2 linked regions of the Lepisosteus oculatus genome follow. The protein of the gene in region 1 binds, or shares a complex with, the protein of each later gene. Links are inferred from orthologs where the notes say so. Each region holds a gene or a part of one and is shown in the gene's direction. Other genes may lie near its edges. The genes, in order: tubgcp6 and tubgcp5.

Region 1 (8,683 bases):
AAAACACTTCTTTTGCACATAAACTCTGATTTACATTACATAGCAATGAATTCTAATATCTGCATTTGGTGATCTGTAGCTGTTTTGTTTAACCAGTATGTCACCTCAGAGTATTGAAATTTTAGAAAAGTCACATGACAAGAATAAAAACTGAATTAAATGTTAATATTCATATTAGTTCTATGGATTAACCAAAGCGTTACACATCTGTTGTATACACGAGACTGTTCGAGTAAGAATCAAGTGTAGCGCAGGTTTACTTCTTCAAGTGTGACAGACACAAAATATGTGAAGGTGAACGAGACTGACCGAGCACAAGCCAGGATTAATGCCGGTGTGTTCCTTTGACCCTTTGAAAGCTGAGCACCCAATCTAACTACAAGAAGTATTTTGCAGTTTCTCCAGTTTGTTGAGAAAGGTCTGCAGCTGCTCAGTGCGTCTGTGTCCCTCGGCGCGTTAAAGCTGTATCCACATTTTCATCTGCCTCGCTCAGGGGCCACAAGCAGAAACTAGGTGGAGGTGGGAGGTCTATTTCTCCAAAGTGCCGGATAAACAGCTCTTAAAAACGAGAGAACACGGCCTTCTAACCAAGACTCCTAACAGGGTCCAAACCGTGAACCCGCGAGCTGACCAGCTGCCGTTATTGGATTCGCGCACCGGGCAGTGTGGCTACGTCACAACCGGCAGGGCGTGCCCTGTGACTGGCCCGTCACCCCTCTGCAGAATGACAGACAGGCACGCGTACGATCTGCCACACGCCCTCATCCTGTCAGGGTAGCTATGGATAACGGCTGCTATCGTTCATTCATTCAAAACGTCCGTAATTGACTGCCTGAACCCTCATCGTCACCCCCCGCCACTAAGACCAGCAGTGATGAAGTAACAACCCATTTTACATTAATTCCTGGCGTCCAGTACAGGACCACTGTGTTCTCAAATCTAATGACTCCACCAAAATGAAACTGAAAACGTGTTCTCAATTGACTAAAAATGATTATTTTCTCCCTCAAAAAACAGATTACCCTTTCCGACAACAGCATCAAAGAGGCTAAGGAATTTCTACGGCTGACGGCTCAACATCATCTTCCCTTTATAACTAACCTCATTAGATCTCTCAACTCTAAACTCGACCAGTTTCTCACTACAGAGAAGGATAAAAAACTCAGTCATCTTCTACAGAAGAAAACCATCAACACCCCAAACACCTTCACCAATCCTAACCTTGTTGTCACCATACCTTCTGACATTTCCCTTTCACAGGATGAGCGATCCCTCCTCAGCAAAGGGCTCAGTTTTGTACCAGTTCCCAGGAAGCTGGACATTCCCAGACCAATGTCGACCTTAACCGCTTTTACCGCAGGATCCGTCTCGGAGCACATTTTGCTGACGATTCCTCTTCACAGGCAGCTGATAACAACCCAGTTATTGATGTCATTAACAACATTAATCCCAAACAGAGCTGTTGGACTCCCCCCTCTGGCCGTTTTCCACCAGTCGATTATTTCATTAACCAATGCACCAATCAAGCTCCCAAGACACTCTCTATACCCAGTAAACACAGGTCCAACCTCACCCAAGGAGAAAATCAGGCGCTCCAGTCTCTCCACAAGAGGGATGATATCGTCATCAAACCAGCGGACAAAGGAGGCGCTGTTGTGGTGTGGCGTAAGGATCTATATATCTTTGAAGCCTCTAGACAACTAACTGACACTTCTGCCTACCTCCCTCTCCAACAGGACCCTACCACTGACTACCAGGAAGAAGTGGTATCCACCATCTCCCTTCTTATCGGCAGTAAGGAGCTCCCCCAGGAGAAGAACCGTTGAACCCCATTGAACATCCGCAGGTCTCAATTTGCCTCCTCCCCAAAATCCACAAACCAGACACCCCTGGACGCCCCATCGTATCAGCATGCAGCTGTCTGACTACTTGCATCTCGGCCTTTCTCGACAGCCTCATGAGACCGCTGGTTGAAGGTCTTCCCTCATACATCAAGGACACCAACCACGCGCACCAACTTTTTGATGATTTCCAATTTCAGGGCACCGAATGCTACATTTTTACCATGGACATCACATCTCTCTACACCGTCATTCCCCATAATGACGACCTTACAGCCTTCAAGCACACGCTGGACAAACGCACAGTGCTTGATCCACCCACCCACACCCTGGTACGCCTTGCGGAATTGGTCCTCACACTGAACGCATTCTCTTTCAATAATAAACAGGTGAGTGGAGTTGCCATGGGCACCAGAATGGGACCCAGCTACGCCAATATTTGTGTCTGCTTGGTAGAAGAACGCTTCTTCGCTTCCTACACTGGCTGTGGCATCTACAAGCGATATATTGATGACTGCGTCGGTGCTGCCACATGCTCTAACGACCAGCTTGAGTGCTTCCTGCATCATTTCACCAACTTCCACCCGTCCCTCAAATATACGGTTAACATCTTCCACTACTCTGCCGTTTCTAGACATCAACTTCTCCATCAACTACCCCCGACTCTGCACTTTTTATTTATTACAAACCCACGGATTCACACAGCTATCTCCTGTATAGCTAATTTCACCCCAGACACACTAAAAACTCTCTCCCTTTTTCACAGTTCCTTCGGCTACGACGATTGTGCAGCGACGACATCGACTTCCAGAACCAAGCCCTCGAAATGTGCTCCTTTCTTATCAACAGAGGATACCCCAGCAGTGTGATTGACAGGGCCCTTGCCCGAGCCAAAAACACTCCTTGGACCATCAACTCAATCAGGAACTCCCGCCGTAACAACCGCATTCCCTTGGTGCTTCCCTACCACCCCAACACACTTCCTATCCCCAGGACTATTAACATCAACTTCTCCATCCTACAGGATGATCCCTCCATTGGGCCCCTCTTTTCTGATCACCCTATCATCTCATATCGCTGAGCACCTAATCTGCGCAACCTTCTTGTTCACAGCTCCCTTGACCGCCCTCAGCAACCATCCACACCAGGCACTTTCCCTTGCAACAGAGCTCGCTGTATCACCTGCAAGTACACATCCACCACCACACTCATTCAAGGCCCCTCAGGACAATTCCGGATCACCCAGATGGCATCTTGTACCTCCAGCAACCTTATTTACTGTATCTCTTGCAGTAAATGCCCAGCCATCTACATTGGGGAAACAGGAAGGAGACTCGGAGACCGCTTCAGAGAACATCAGGGCTTTAAAGATTAAAGATCTCTCCAAGCCCATTGTTTCTCATTTCACCTCTTACGGCCACGACCACTCTAATCTCTCTGTCTGTGTTCTCAAAGGTGGTTTTCCGAACTCATACATCAGAAAGACTACAGAAAGCAAAATTATCCTGCAGCTAGGATCACACCTTCCCCCTTCTCTTAACGACAGACTACTTTTCTTCTAAATTCTCTCTATTCATTGGAGGTTTCATTTCACAACTCTCTACATCTATCCTGACTTCACACCTCCTGATTGGCCTCTCTTTCTGTCCCCTGCTCCCGCCCCTCAATTCAATTCAATTCAAGGTGCTTTATTAGCATGACCGATGGTTACAATCAGTGTTGCCAAAGCAAATAAAATACACATGGAACAAAAAAAATAAAAGTAAAAAAAAATCTACAGACATTTACAACAAAGACATATAAAATATTTTCATATACTGTAAACATGTTGAGCATTACTGGGAGACAGACTCACTGTTCCTCAGGCTGTGACAGGAGATCACATACTGGGCTGCCAGTTCAACTGAGTTCCCTCCTCCCTCTCCCAGTAGGATTGGGATCTGTTGTGATTCTAGCAGGTGTGGGAACTCTGGGATTAGATTTCTGAATTTAGGGAAGAATGTTTCTCTAATCCCAGAGAATCTGTCATAGTGCAGTAGGAAGTGCACCTCTGTCTCCATTTCTCCCTGCTGGCAGTGGGAGCACAGCCTGTCCTCTCTGGGCAGCCAGGTCTGCCTGTGTCGCCCAGTTTCTATGGCCAGGCTGTGGTCACTGAGCCTGTACTTCGTCAGGGTCTGTTTCTTTTTGCTGTTTCTTATCTTGGTCAAATATTCGGCTAGTGTGTATTGTCTGTTTAGGGTTCTGTAGCATTCCAGTTTATGTTGTGTGTGTGTCCCAGTGTGTGAGATATTGCTGTCTGATCTGTGCTGTGATGTGGTTGAGTCTGGGTTGTGGTGCTCTAGCAGTGCTGTCCTGAGGCTGGTTAGGGTTGGTGTGGCTCAGGTCGGTGAGACTCAGGACCAGCTGGCTCAGGGGGCTCTGTTTTGGGCTCAGCAGGGTTTTGTGGTGGTAGGAATTTTGGTCGCTGTTTTTTTAGGTGTAGCCAATACTTTAATACTCTTTTCTGTATGTTTATCAATAGTGGGTACTGGCCTAATTCGGCCCTGCACCCATTGTTAGGGGTTTTTCTCTGCACACGGCTCCTCTCTCAGCTTTTGTTCTCCCGCTACATTACCTTTGCTTACTGCCTTGTCTTTCTCACACCTGAAGAAGCCTTCACGGCCGAAACGTTGTGTTTTCTTTCTCCCTTCTTTTCAGCATGGAATAAACCTACTACTTGTTCCTAAAAAAAGATTATTGCGAATCTGAACGACTGCTTTAATTTGTGAATACCTGTCCCTGCTAACACTAATTAATTCCTCAACGCTAAAACCAGTGACTGACAGCAGCTGGTAGAGAGGTTGCTCTTGCTATGCAAACACATAGGATTTTTGTTTTTTGCAGAAGTGGCGGAGGCGGGTTAACTTATAACTGTCACTGCGGGGGAAATGGTTGCGAAAGTAGCCTGGCCATTGAAGTGGCGGGAGGCCAAAGATCAGCCAATAGGAATACGGGATACGGGAAGAGTGACAGCGCTTTCCCGTCCAATGAGAACGCAGAAAAGAGAGCGGAAATTGCTGAAAAAACCCAAACCTGGCGTCATCATTTATTACCCAATCGAACATCGGCCTCATTCGCTTCAGACCAATGAAGTCTCAGAGTGGGCGGGCCAAGTGGAGGCTGAGCGGTAGTTAAGGAAAATAAAGTGATAGGGATTGTGGATACAGTTGTCTGTATTAATAAATGTGTTGTTGTTTTTTTTTTGCCTTCCATAAAACAGCTTAAAGGTTAATGAAATGAGGAGATCAGTTAAATTATAATAGCTGTGCCCGGTCTCGTCTCAATGTTAATCCACACTGGGACCTTGATTGGTAAAATAGTAACCAAAATCGGAGCATCGTAGCACTACAGCAGGTATGATTCAATGGGTTCCGTTAATGCATCTCAACGATTGTTCAGGTTAAGTGATTGTGATCAATGTATCGTTCATTTAACGATTTCCGCTTTCGCATATTCGCTTCTCGGCCTTTTGGCTAAGATCGAGTGTAATGTATCGTTCATTTGGCGCAAAAGATGATGTGCTGATTGATACCTTGATGTTGAGTGCCCTTGCAGTGAGTATCGGATCTTGGTAGGTATCGGTGTTCGTGCTCTTGTGTCATAGATTTATCGCTTCTTTCTGGCGCGATTTCTTAGAAATTACTAGAACATCTTTTGTGTTAACACTACAGAATTCAGGTTCAGATTTAAGGCTCCAAAAGCAAAGAATTGGATTTAGCCGGCATCATCAGAATGTACTGCTGCCCGGGACAGAAAACGGCAACAGTACCCTACTTGCACGGACTTGTTGGTGCGCATACATCACCAGAGGGTATACGAGAGAACAGATACGTTTTGGGAAACCTGGGTAAATTGCCATTGTTTTCTAGTCATTATATACATTTTCCCCTCACAATCGTGTAATTGAACAAAGACGTTAAAATTATTTCCTTTGAACTCAGGAAACCCGTTTTTAAACATGCAAACATTGTAACTTTTAGAGTGATCTTATGAAACGCAGTCAGGACACATCAGGTGCCTCAGAACCGTGGGGAATAAAATATCTGTAATGCACCCAAAGTGCAGTGTGCTTTTCAGAAACCAGTTAGTGGTCACATAAGAGTTTCTGTCGTTCGTGAAGTCTCTAGGCCTGATGTAGTGTGTGTGTGTATGTAGTGTCATTTCACAGCAGTGCAGCATGTTTCTTCCAATTCAGGGTGACAGTGGAGCTGGAGACTGTCCCAGTCGAACAGCAAGCAACAGGCACAAGACAGGATACACCCTGGACAGGACACCAGTCCATCACAGGGCACCCACAGACTCAGACACACACTCACTTACTCTAGGGACGCTTTTCTCAAAAGCCAATTAACCCTCCAGCATGTCCTTAGACTGTGGGAGGAAGCTGGAGCACCCAGAGGAAACCTTTGTGAACACAGGGAGAACATACAAGCTCCACACAGACGGCACCCCAGAAACTGAGCCCAGGGCCAATGCTAACTGCCCTGCCACCTGCTTTACATACCCTGCGTGACTAGTGCGCTATATTGAGAAGCGATTATCCACCAGAAGACCAGAGTCTGAAGCGCTCTTTTGGAGCACCATGTAGAAGCTCTGGGCTTTGGCATGCGCGACAGCACCCCTGTGAACCCCGCTGGTTTAGCGCCTGTCCTTGTTTCTGCAGGTGCGTTGTGCCTGCGCTGCCCCCTGCAGGCCGGGAGTGCGTCACCGCGGCCGCCAGCCCAGCGGGAGGGAGCGCCATGGCCGGCGTCTCCGGCGGCAGCTGCAGCATCACGGAGCTGCTGGGCGCCCTGTGCGACGCCCACCTGGCGGGAGGGGCGTGCAAGCCGCGCGCGTGGCGGGGGGGCCGCGAGGCAGCGCGGCGGGCCCTGCGGCGGCGCGCCTACGGGGCCCTGCTGTCCCGCCTCTTCCGAGAGCCCCCCCCCGGCGGCGGCGGGGCCCCGCGCCGCCCCCCGCCCCCGCCCGCCACGCCCCCCCGGAACAAGGTGCTGATGCTGGCGTTCGACCTGCGCGTGGCGGGCTGCTGCCAGGAGGCCGCGCAGCTGGAGGAGCTGCTGGGGCGGCTGGGGGGGGCGCCGGGGGGGCTGGACTCCGTGCTGGAGCTCCTGGTCCAGCTGGCGGGCTCCGCGCCCCCCCCCGCCCCCTCCTACAGCCGCGACTTCATGCGGAGGGAGAGGCCCGTGCTGCGGCGCCCCCCGCTGGCCGGCTACGATAGTGCCGAGCTGTGGCGGCTGGAAGCAGAGGCCTGGGCCCTGGTGTGTGGGGAGGAGTGGGGGGCCCTGGGGGGTCTCTGCACCACCCTGGGCCTGATGGAGGCGCCCCCCGGCACGGGCACGGGCCTGCTGGCGCTGGGCAGGGCGGGGGAGGGCAGGGAGCGTTACGAGAAGGAGACGCGCCTCTCGCTGTTTGGAGCCCTGCAGCACACCCGGACCTCTGACATGGAGATCCGTCTGGACCTGCCCCCGGTGCCCAGCAACGCCGAGCTCACGGGGCTGGCCATCCGGGTGAGAGCTCCGCTGGGCGCGCCGCGGCCCGTCGTCTCGCGCGCGTGCGGATCGGCCCGTCTGACCCGTTCTCCGCTGCTCCCACCCCACCCCAGGTCCCCCCGAGTCTTGACCAGTCCGAGGACGAGGGGTTCCAGTCTGCCTCAAACCTGACGCCAGATTCGCAGTCCGAGCCGAGCCCCAGCCCGGAGCCGGACGTGTGGGAGGCGCTGCGGAGTTTCGAGCCGGGCCGCCGGCGCTGCTGGGAGGGGATCGGCTGGTAAGGGGGGGGGCAGAGAGGGCAGATACCCCAGTGAGGGCAGTACAGGGCAGGAGAGGGGAAGGCCTTTTGCACTGAGGGCAACGAGACTCAGACGCAGAGGAGTGCGGAAGGTGAAAGAAGGGCGTTAGTGCAGATGTCTATAGGGCGTCCTAGCTCCAGAAGGGGATGGCGGAGATGGTGTTTGTGCTCGCAGCAGTCTGGGGAGGGAGTTAAGCAGTGGGAGCTGAGACTCTGTGGGATGTTGGCGAGGGGCTGACGTGAGATCTGCTAGGTTTCAGGAGGGACAAGGCCACAGGAGAAGGGCTGACTGGACGGACTGGAGTGGGCTAGCTGAGTTTGTAACCTGGTGGGTTCTGTGGTACACCAGGCAGTTGTTGTGATGCACATTTCTTCTGTTCACCTCTCCCACCACTCTTTGTCCCTGCCTTTCCTCCTCTTTGTGCACGTGTCTTTCTGCCTTTCTCCCTGTCCAGCCCCCCCGGGAGGAAGGAGCTGCCCTACCTGTCGGAAGCCGGACGGGAGGCGTTCGACCAGCTGTACCAGCTGCGGGAGGGGGGTCTGCAGCTCCTGAGCACTGCGGCTGCCCTGCCGCCCTCCCCTCTGCCCCTTCACACCCAGACCCAGCTGGTCACCGACGTGCTCAACGTCCTGATCGGAGTGGCTTCCACAACCTTCCCCCTCGACCAGGTACCGTGTGTGTCTGTGTGTCTCCGGGACTCTGGGGCTTGTCTGTCTGTCTGTCTCTCTGTGTCTCTCCGGGACTCTGAGGCGTGTCTGTCTGTCTGTCTCTCTGTGTCTCTCCGGGACTCTGAGGCTTGTCTGTCTGTCTGTCTCTCTGTGTCTCTCCGGGACTCTGGGGCTTGTCTGTCTGTCTGTCTCTCTGTGTCTCTCCGGGACTCTGAGGCGTGTCTGTCTGTCTGTCTCTCTGTGTCTCTCCGGGACTCTGAGGCTTGTCTGTCTGTCTGTCTGTCTGTCTGTCTGTCTGTCTGTCTGTCTGTCTGTCTGTCTGTCTGTCTGTCTGTCTGTCTGTCTGTGTC
Region 2 (8,907 bases), on another chromosome or scaffold:
GAACAAAAGCACATCACACAAGCTCATTAATGCTACAAAGAACACACTGAAAGATACTAATAGAACCAACCCAATAACTTCCAGCTAAATTTGTAAATATTGTTGTAATGTCCGGATGTAGATGGGAATTTTTAAAAAATCATGAAAATATGAAGGGAATATTTTTTTAAGGGTCAGCTGAGTCAATGGCCACTTGTGTTTAGTATGGAGATGGGAATTGTGGATTCATATGACATTAGAAGCAGCTCTCTTTATTTTTCCCATCAGATTTGGGACACTGACATTGTAAACACTGCTAATGGGGTGTTGTTAGAAACCCAGTGCTGTATAGAAAAAGAAAATTAAACAGGGAACAAATCTGTTCCTTATGAAAACCAAGCATTACTGTGGTGAGTAATTATAAGGGTGAGACAGGTGTTTGATTTTACCTTGCAGACTGACAATTTATTCTATGAAGGCCGTGTCATGGTTAGGACACAGCTGCCCAGAGAAAAATCTCAAGTAATCAGATATAATTTTAAGAATGCATAGAAAAAAATACAATAGCATCATGTATTAAAAGATGGTTTCAATTTGTGTCATCAGTATAGCTAGATTATTTCCCTCATGATATTAATATGGTCAAAATATGATATGATCAAACTATCCAACCCTACCAAGAAGTCTAAAACTTCCAACTTCCAAAGCTGAAAGGGGAACCAGAAATATTTAGCATTTCTTTTTGCTGTAATAAAATCATTGGATTGTGTTCCTACTCAGTTCAAACAGATTATTATTTTGGATGAGTAGTTGAGAGATTTTTTATTCTTTAAATTGTGATTTACAATTCTTAATTCTTGCAAATAACTTCTGAATTTATAACTTACAATTAAGCCGATACTATTAAATGAATATTAGATCAAATTACAGTTAAAGACAGGGCAGCTATCACTGGTAACACAATAGCAACGTCTGGATGTTCTAACACAATGTATTCATTGTGTATTTATTGGCGAAACGACATATTAATACTGTACCTTTGTTCACATTTTCGTTCGCCTCTATGTTTTGTCCACGTTTGTTTTCTGATACCCCAGCTTACGCATGACCTCGCCGCAATATTTCTCGACTTGAGCGACCTGTTCAACGCTTAACCTCTCTCTCCAAGCGTAAATGGCTTCCTTGGCATCCCTTGACGAAATAAGAAAGGGCCTGTCCGAAGAGTAACCCTCGCCATGGGTCATGTTTATCACGAACTTTTCAATGGCTGGCGAAGAGGTCAGATTGGAGAAACTGTACAGCCTCTTCAGTTCCCGCACTGGGTGTAACACAAGGTCCTCGTAGCGCAGGTGAAGGTAGTTCCTTCTTACCCATTGGGGTGCGTTCATGATGTGCAATATGTCGTTGAGCCAGTTATCGCATATCACCTCCATAGCGGTAGATACATAATTCTCCACTCGCGTGGACCTGTTGGGTATGAGAAGGCGCCTGTATTTTTCCGTCTGTTTCCTGCTTCTCAGCACTTGAATGCTTTCTTTCACCAGTGCCTGTTTAGATTTCAATCTGGAATTGTGGACCGCCCGGGGGTCTCTGAACAGCTGAATCACCTGGAGGTTCAGCCCGGGGTCCCTAATCAAAGGAACCAGGACACCAAGATCCAGGACCCGCACGTCTTTTATGACAACAACGGGATACTTCTTGCACTCTCTCTCTAATTCCCTGATGTCTTTAGGTTGGCACTTGCCGCAGACCTCTCCGTTTATCAGCCCAACGTCGTCTCTCCTGTGAGCACTGCACAGAGGCTCGGAGCAGATCACCTTGTTCGTCTTCCATCCGAAGATAAATGAGGTAGTGAGGTTTTTGTTGCCCGTGTAGAGTTTTAAAACGGAGAAATCGCAGCGGTAGAGGGAGTTCATCATGTCCCTCACCGCTCCTTGGAGACTCCCTGCATCACCCGGGTACAGGGTCTGCCACATATTCCACATGGGTTCATACAAATAAAACACATCAGGATGCTGGTTAAATAACTCCCCTAAAAAAGATGAGCCTGTTCTCCAAGTTGCATGAAGATAAATGTGTGTTTTCGTTTGGCTCCTATTGATAAAATTTTCCACCGTCTCAGATTCGTTGCTGGATTTATCTCCAATATTCCATAACTCCATTGTGGTTTCCAAATCGGGGCATTTTGATAGTGGCAGTTCATTCCGGACCTGAGCTCTTCTATTTCTGTATTCCAACACATAAGGAATGAACAGGAGCAATACGGAGTACACTATAATTAATATGAGATATTTCTTCTGTAGCCTCCTCTTCATTTCCTCAGCGACCGAAGCGCTTAGCGCACTCCTACTGATTTAGCACCCCTACATGAAGCCTGACTCCGGCTTTAGACAAACTTTGAGTTAGAAAAAAAACCGGTATTGTCAATCGCCTCTGAACACGCCCACTGCATTTCAAAATAAGAGCCGATAGTCACGTGTGTCCCCTTTTCGCAAACTATCCATTTTCATTAGAATGGAACTGTATTTTTCCACAAATGTACAAAACGACATAAAAAGAAACTGTCACGGGGAAAATAGCATGTTTTCAGCTACGGGCAGACTTTTGAAATACATGCAATTAAGAAATGTCCGTTTTGAGTTACTTGCCAATAAAAGTCGATGTATTACTAAATCGAGTTAAAACTAAAAAAAATGTTAAAACTATGGAAATCGCTTGAATGAATAAAGTTTGCAGCTGTGTACTTTTCCCTCAAAATTGTTATTGTAATTTACTGCCATCAAGCATTTTGTGACAAATGAAAAGGTTGTGTTTCTGTGTAAGCTACAGAGCTGCACTTATAAAGACATCTATTTCTGAGTGTTGGGTACAATATGCAGGAAACTACGCAAGATTTATAGACTTATTTCTCTTCTTTGTGCAGCATGGCGCTGTAATAAGGTTAACCTGGCATTTTCTTACAGCTGCATCGAAGTGTTTGGGAGCATGGACAACCATCGACAGGACTGTTCACTGAACTTCCAACCTCGGCCAAGTTTCAGTGGTGTAAGCGAAACTTAAATTCCAAAATCCATTTCACATTTGACCAAAGCCCCGTTTAAACAATAGAGTAAGACGTAAACAGCTTAAAACACTGTAAAATCTATTTAGTGTGCAGCCATGCCAATTTATGTGACAAAACCTTGATAAAGCACACAGCTGTCAGAAAAACTGCTCCGAATTCATTCAGATATATCACTTACTCTGGCACAACATTTTAATTACCCTACTGGAGATGTAGCAGATGCACTGTTCTTGGAGAAAAATGCTGTCTTCCTCTGCAAATATACATTTGGACACCCCAACAGATTAGCACCTTGTCAACTAACAAACATTTTTCCACATATTTAATCCAATTAAATGAGAGATTTGTAGGCTCGTGTATTTTCTTTAAGTATTCTAAACTAGCTGTATATATGGTACAATATTCCCCCTTGACCTTGTGTGCTTACAAAAACGTTTGATCTTTTAATACAGAATTACCAGAGTTACATTAAACGGGACTTTAAAAAAAAACAATTTTTAGTTTTAATAAGAAACATGTATCTGAAGCACTGAACTCAAAATGTTCTTGTTGAATGCGCATATTGTACATATCTTCAAATTCGCATTGTCTTCATCTTGTTGCCTTTGTACTATAGTAAATTAGCAATAGCAATAAACAGTGAAGTTACTGATGCTGTTTGTTCTACTTTCTAAACATGACCTTTTCTCACAGAATATTACATGTACTGTAGATAAAGAGCACAAGGGGTAGATATGGAAGCTCAATTTTCTAACTGGCTAAGGTATGCCTAAAACCAGAATTTCAACCCACATATCATTGGAAATAGATAAATATGTCCTGTTTTCGTAGTTTCCTGTTCTACCAGGGTATCTACACAAAGGAATGCCACCATCACATGCTTCATTTGGAGATGATTTTGGAGTTTCAATTCACTTTCATATGAAGGAATTTTATTTTTCTATGCTGAAGTCTTGAAGGTGCCATATAATGTGTTTGCAAAACAATAGTTACTTAGTTTTTTTAAACGCTTAAAATGTATAATGACAAAATACAGAAGTAAACAACAAGAGATTGTAGGCATTGCTATAAAAATCAGAAAATAGTCATATACTGTCGATATCACGTGTAATCACATTATATATTTTATCTCAAAAATGCAACGTGCTTCGTGTTATATCTCCGATTTGGAAACATCATCTTTTATAAGATAAGATAACTTTATTGGCCATATACAATTTCTTGTATTAGGAATTTGTCTTTTCACATACCCCAGCTTGCGCTCCGTGAGACACACAGACAGAGAGAGAAGCTTGAGGTCAGAGCACAGGGTCATCCATTTATATGGCGCCCCTGGAGCAGTTGGGGTGAAAGGCCTTGCTCACGAGCCCAACGGAGTAGGATTTCTCTACCGGCCGCGGGATACGAACCGGCAACCTTCCAGCCACAGGCACAGATCCTTGCAGATGGCCCAGATTAAACCCAGACGTCACTTCAGAGTGTCATTTGTATGGAAATAGGATTTTAGGGAGTAGTCTGTGTAGCTTTTCAATAGACAGGCCTTACTTGACTAATGTGTTAGGTTTATGTGTAAAAACAACAGGAACATACAGAGCATATGAGACAGTATATTTACATTTTCAGGAAGCCTTTACTCACAAAATTGCTTTTGGTAGGCATTCAGGGTAATGTGTATGATTAGAGTGAAAATTGTTTAATGAATAGAAAACTAAGAATAAAGATAAGAGCTGAATACTCCAACTGAGGAATGTAATTAGCCTGTGGTGATCTATTTAAGGATCTGTCGTCTTTCTAATTTATATCAACAACCTAGATTCTGGTGAAGTTCTAGTTATTTAGCTAGTCAGGTTTGCAAAACCAAATTAGAACAAGCCGCAAACCCTGTAAAAGTAAAGAAAAGTCTGGACTGGGCTCACACTAGGAAGATGATATCTAATATAGACAAGTGCAGAGAGATACATGCAATGAAAAGAACCATAAACTGTACATGTGAGATGGGGAGCAACCTGCAGAAGCTGTGAAAAAGCCTTAGGTGTCTCTGCTAACACATGCTTTATGTTTTCTAGACAAGGAAATGATAAAAAAAAACAAAGAGACGTTTAGATTACTTAGTTAAAAGTGTAAGATTTAAATTGAGGGATGTTATATTAAAATTGGAAAATGCACTGAATGTAAGATCATAATTTAGAAGACTGTATAAAGTTTTGGTAACTCTGTTACAAAAGAGATATTTATGTTTTGGAACCAGCTCTGAAAAGAGCCACCAGATTCCTTTTTCAGGCTTAAAGAAATGGCCGTGGCTGACAGGCTAAAGGATCTGCGTCTTGTCATTCCAGAGAAGACTAGAATTCTATTTTCTGGAAGTCTTAAAAATGATCATGAAGCAGAATACAAATACAAAATGAAGAAAAAAAAACACTTTAAAATTTGGAAATAACAGAAAAGGGCGTAAAATACACAATATGGCTAAAGAATATACATAACATGTCCTTATTTGGTAAGAATCAAAATTACACTTAAGATTTTGCTTTATGTTTCTCAGGTCTCTGCTTGTAAAGAAGTCGACGTCTACACGTGCTGTTTCTAGTCTTCGCTTTTCCAGGGAAAGTAACTGCTCGGCCAACAGAAACACAGAGGAGGGAGGTTCGGTTGGTAGGAGCCGCTGTACACAGCAGTGATGGCGGAGTCAAAACAATTCTGTATTCAACAGAGAAGTAGCCTTTGTATGATACATAATTAAAAATAAACAGTTAAATAAGAACAAATCGTTTATAGCCGATATCGGGATATTTAACTGTTGCATGCTTTTAAGCGAAGGATGCTGTACATCTAAGCTACGCAAAGCAAAAACAAGCGATTTCTGATAGTGTGATTGAACACAGTTCGTACTCGTATTTATTGTAAGCAATAATTTCGAGTTGGATGTATCGTCTCATGTAGTTTATGGTTTTAAGCTGTATTGGTTGTGCTCAACTCAAAGCCTATCCCTTCTGCATACTTTGACCACACATACGAGAGAGTCCGGATGATCGTGCCTAACGTTTACAGTAGAGTAGTATATATAGTCTGTATAGTATAGTCTATAACTATAGAAACTGGCACCGGAGGTCCCTTACTTAGCATCACAATGGCTCACTGGACGAAATTTGAAAAAGATTTGGAAATCGATACGAAGAGGCTAATAAAGCTCATCAGTGGGATACAGGATGAAGAAGACCAGAATTTCCAGATGGCATTAAAGTTTGCCTGGACCAATTTCAGGTGAGGGTTTCATGAGTGATCCCAAGGCTCGGGCCTGAATTCACATGGCAGAGGAATGTATTTGCTGCAGTCTTCATTCTCAAAGGCTGGCTTTGTCACTGACAGTACGTTTGTGAGAGGGACTAAAAGATCCGTCTTCACATTGAGTTGTAGTTCTTTTGCCATATATGAACCAAGACACTGACAAAAGCATTGTTATGTGTTTAAATTTGCAGGTTCCATCGATACTTAGATGTCAACAGTCACAAGGTGCAGCGTACAATCAGTGGGTAAGTTCAGTCGATCAAGCAGATTAAATATTCTTCTTTCTGAGGAGATTCTGAAGATCAAGACAAAGCGCCTACAAGAATGTGACACTTTTTTCCTTTTTGTTTCAGAATCCATGAAAAGCTAATAATTCACTCAGATCTGAGCAAAGCTACAAGCTGGAAACGACTGACTGAAGAATTTCTGAATGCACATCTTCCAAACACAGAAGGAACAAAAGTGATAGATTGTTATACATCTTGTGAACTAAACAGCTTGTTTCTAAGATTTAAGATTTAAGATGTGATAAGATTTATTGTCCATTGAGGGAATTTGTTTGTGGACATCAACAACAACAAAATTGAGCATCACTCTATTGCACATTTATAACACATAATAACATATAACATATATAACATTACAAAACATGTTGCACACAAGTGGATTGTAACGATAAAACAATGTTTATCCTTGCCATTTGCATTGACAGCTTTAATGGAAAGTGGAACAAAGGAATGTTTGTATCTGTTTGACTTACATTTGAGAACCCTAAAACGTTGTTGAAATGCGCTAAACTAAAAACAAGAAAATTAAAAAAGCATTTTTTCTCTTTTTTTTTTGCAGACAGAAACCCATCACAGTATCCTAGCTCTCCTACTCTATCTTTCTGATTCTCCTTCCAACACAGATTACACTGAGAGGCCACGGCTGAAGGATGCTGGTAAGTTAATGGACATTAACATAGCCACAATGAGTAACTGGTGTTCACACAACACAAACTTTGTGTTTTGTGGCCTTTTTATTATCTCTGTATTTTCCGTAATAATATATCTTAATACCCAGTATACTACTGGAATAAAGATGAAGCATCAGCACACAATTAACTCTATAAAACATGATAGGTGTTATTCATCTGGCAGAATGTTGCAATAATTGAGTCGTCAGTTTAATTCTGTGCCAAATGTTAATCTAACACCTGTGAATATGGTGCTTTCTATGATAGTCTTAGTTGCTGTATCTTAGATTTGGCATTTTGACTATCCTAATACACACCTTTGAGAGACAAATTCCCATGAGCCATTACAATGAAGAAGTGTGCACAAATAATACAGTACATTTATCATCTGCATGTCACTAATTGATTTCCCCAAAGCATGCTGTCTCATTCTGACTCAGCATATTACCTAGACTTTTTGGAGTTGTTTGTTTGTCTGGGGGAACTATGAGCACTAACAATAACAGAGGCTCTTCTGAGATGCACAGCAAAGTAAACAACGGTAACATTTACATAATAAGAACACCTCCTGTAAGATTCATTGTTCTGACAATGAAGGTTTTGTTTTAAACAGCAGTACCAAAAGCGCAACTAATTCCAAAAATCTTTGAATAATTTGGAGCTCCTGATTCCAATATTCAGGATTTAAATGTTTGTTTGAAATGCATGCCAGTTTTGAATTTTTAAAAACTTTGGATGGAGATAGTACCCATCTCCAGGCAGCAGTGTGGAGTAGTGATTATGGTTATGGACTCCTTACTGCAATGTTTTGGGTTGAAAGGTCAGCTGCTTTTGTGCGCTTGAGCATGGAATTTCAGATCACTTCAGTGAAATCCCCAGCCGTACAAATGTAAGTTACTTTGGACATAGCGTGTGTTAAAAAATACGTTAATCTCTGGGATACATTTCATGAACTCTCCTGTGGCTTCATATTACCATTTACAGAGTGAGCATTCTCCTGAAGAAATAAAATCTTCTGAATCTTTAATCTGCACTCCCAGTTGTTTGAAATAAACCTTAAGATCTGTCAAATGTCAGAGCTGCTATTTCATTTTCACATTTTCTGTTTCATATTGCTTTCTGATTTTTGATAAAACATTCGAATTTATTTTATTTTTTCAAGAAAAAGAAGACAATTTTGACTGGGGTAAATATTTGATGGAAGGAGAAGATATTGACATGGGCCCTTTTCCAGACACTCCTGTAAGTGAAAGGATACTAGTTTTCTTAAATCCTTACTGCCTTATTCAATAGCTGGCTTGCACTATTCATTACTGAAAATACTTTCTTGCAGAACTTATAGGAATGTTTCTCAAACCGATCAAGCTTCAGCTAATGTCAAAAGTATTTATGCTGTTAAAAGGTACAAAGAAAATACTTTCAATAATTTCCAATTATTTTTCATGAAAGGCAAGAATTAAAGTTAGGTTTCATTTTAATGCAGGAATTTCTGCAAAAAAAAAAGATTTTATTCTATAGTCCTGCCACCTCTTTCCCTAGACTTCAATCCCATTGAGATTCGGTGGGTTGACTTGTAGGCTGGTATCAAAAAGAAGAAGTCAAAACTGCCTGCAAAATTCAA

Evidence for each region.
Region 2: the proteins of tubgcp6 (region 1) and tubgcp5 are in contact, whole or in part, in a cryo-EM structure (PDB 7QJE), measured with the Homo sapiens proteins. The link is inferred for Lepisosteus oculatus from reciprocal best matches to the Homo sapiens genes TUBGCP6 and TUBGCP5. Residues at the interface, in NP_065194.3 of Homo sapiens: Glu290, Ala291, Ser292, Lys293, Arg294, Arg295, Cys296, Trp297, Glu298, Arg299, Val300, Gly301, Cys302, Pro303, Pro304, His306, Arg307, Glu308, Glu309, Pro310, Tyr311, Leu312, Glu314, Lys322, Arg325, Leu326; in NP_443135.3 of Homo sapiens: Asp211, Asp212, Arg213, Trp215, Leu216, His219, Val220, Val221, His222, Trp225, Ser230, Phe232, Pro233, His234, Leu238, His239, Ser240, Asn241, Leu242, Leu264, Val265, Thr266, Glu267, Thr268, Gln269, Arg272, Val302, Thr303, His304, Leu305.

The regions. Positions count from the first base shown.
Region 1 is NC_090702.1:48,760,545-48,769,227, forward strand, and holds the start of tubgcp6 (gamma-tubulin complex component 6), read left to right. Parts: upstream 1-4,999; 5' UTR 5,000-5,234; intron 5,235-5,253; exon of another isoform or gene 5,254-5,451; intron 5,452-5,551; 5' UTR 5,552-5,727; intron 5,728-6,543; 5' UTR 6,544-6,619; coding exon 6,620-7,384; intron 7,385-7,479; coding exon 7,480-7,643; intron 7,644-8,119; coding exon 8,120-8,333; intron 8,334-8,683. UniProt on the Homo sapiens protein: Component of the gamma-tubulin ring complex (gTuRC) which mediates microtubule nucleation.
Region 2 is NC_090710.1:22,063,791-22,072,697, forward strand, and holds the start of tubgcp5 (gamma-tubulin complex component 5), read left to right. Parts: upstream 1-5,666; 5' UTR 5,667-6,170; coding exon 6,171-6,304; intron 6,305-6,519; coding exon 6,520-6,573; intron 6,574-6,681; coding exon 6,682-6,790; intron 6,791-7,174; coding exon 7,175-7,271; intron 7,272-8,448; coding exon 8,449-8,528; intron 8,529-8,907. Other genes in the region: chst7 (carbohydrate sulfotransferase 7), read right to left, coding at 1,041-2,294. UniProt on the Homo sapiens protein: Component of the gamma-tubulin ring complex (gTuRC) which mediates microtubule nucleation.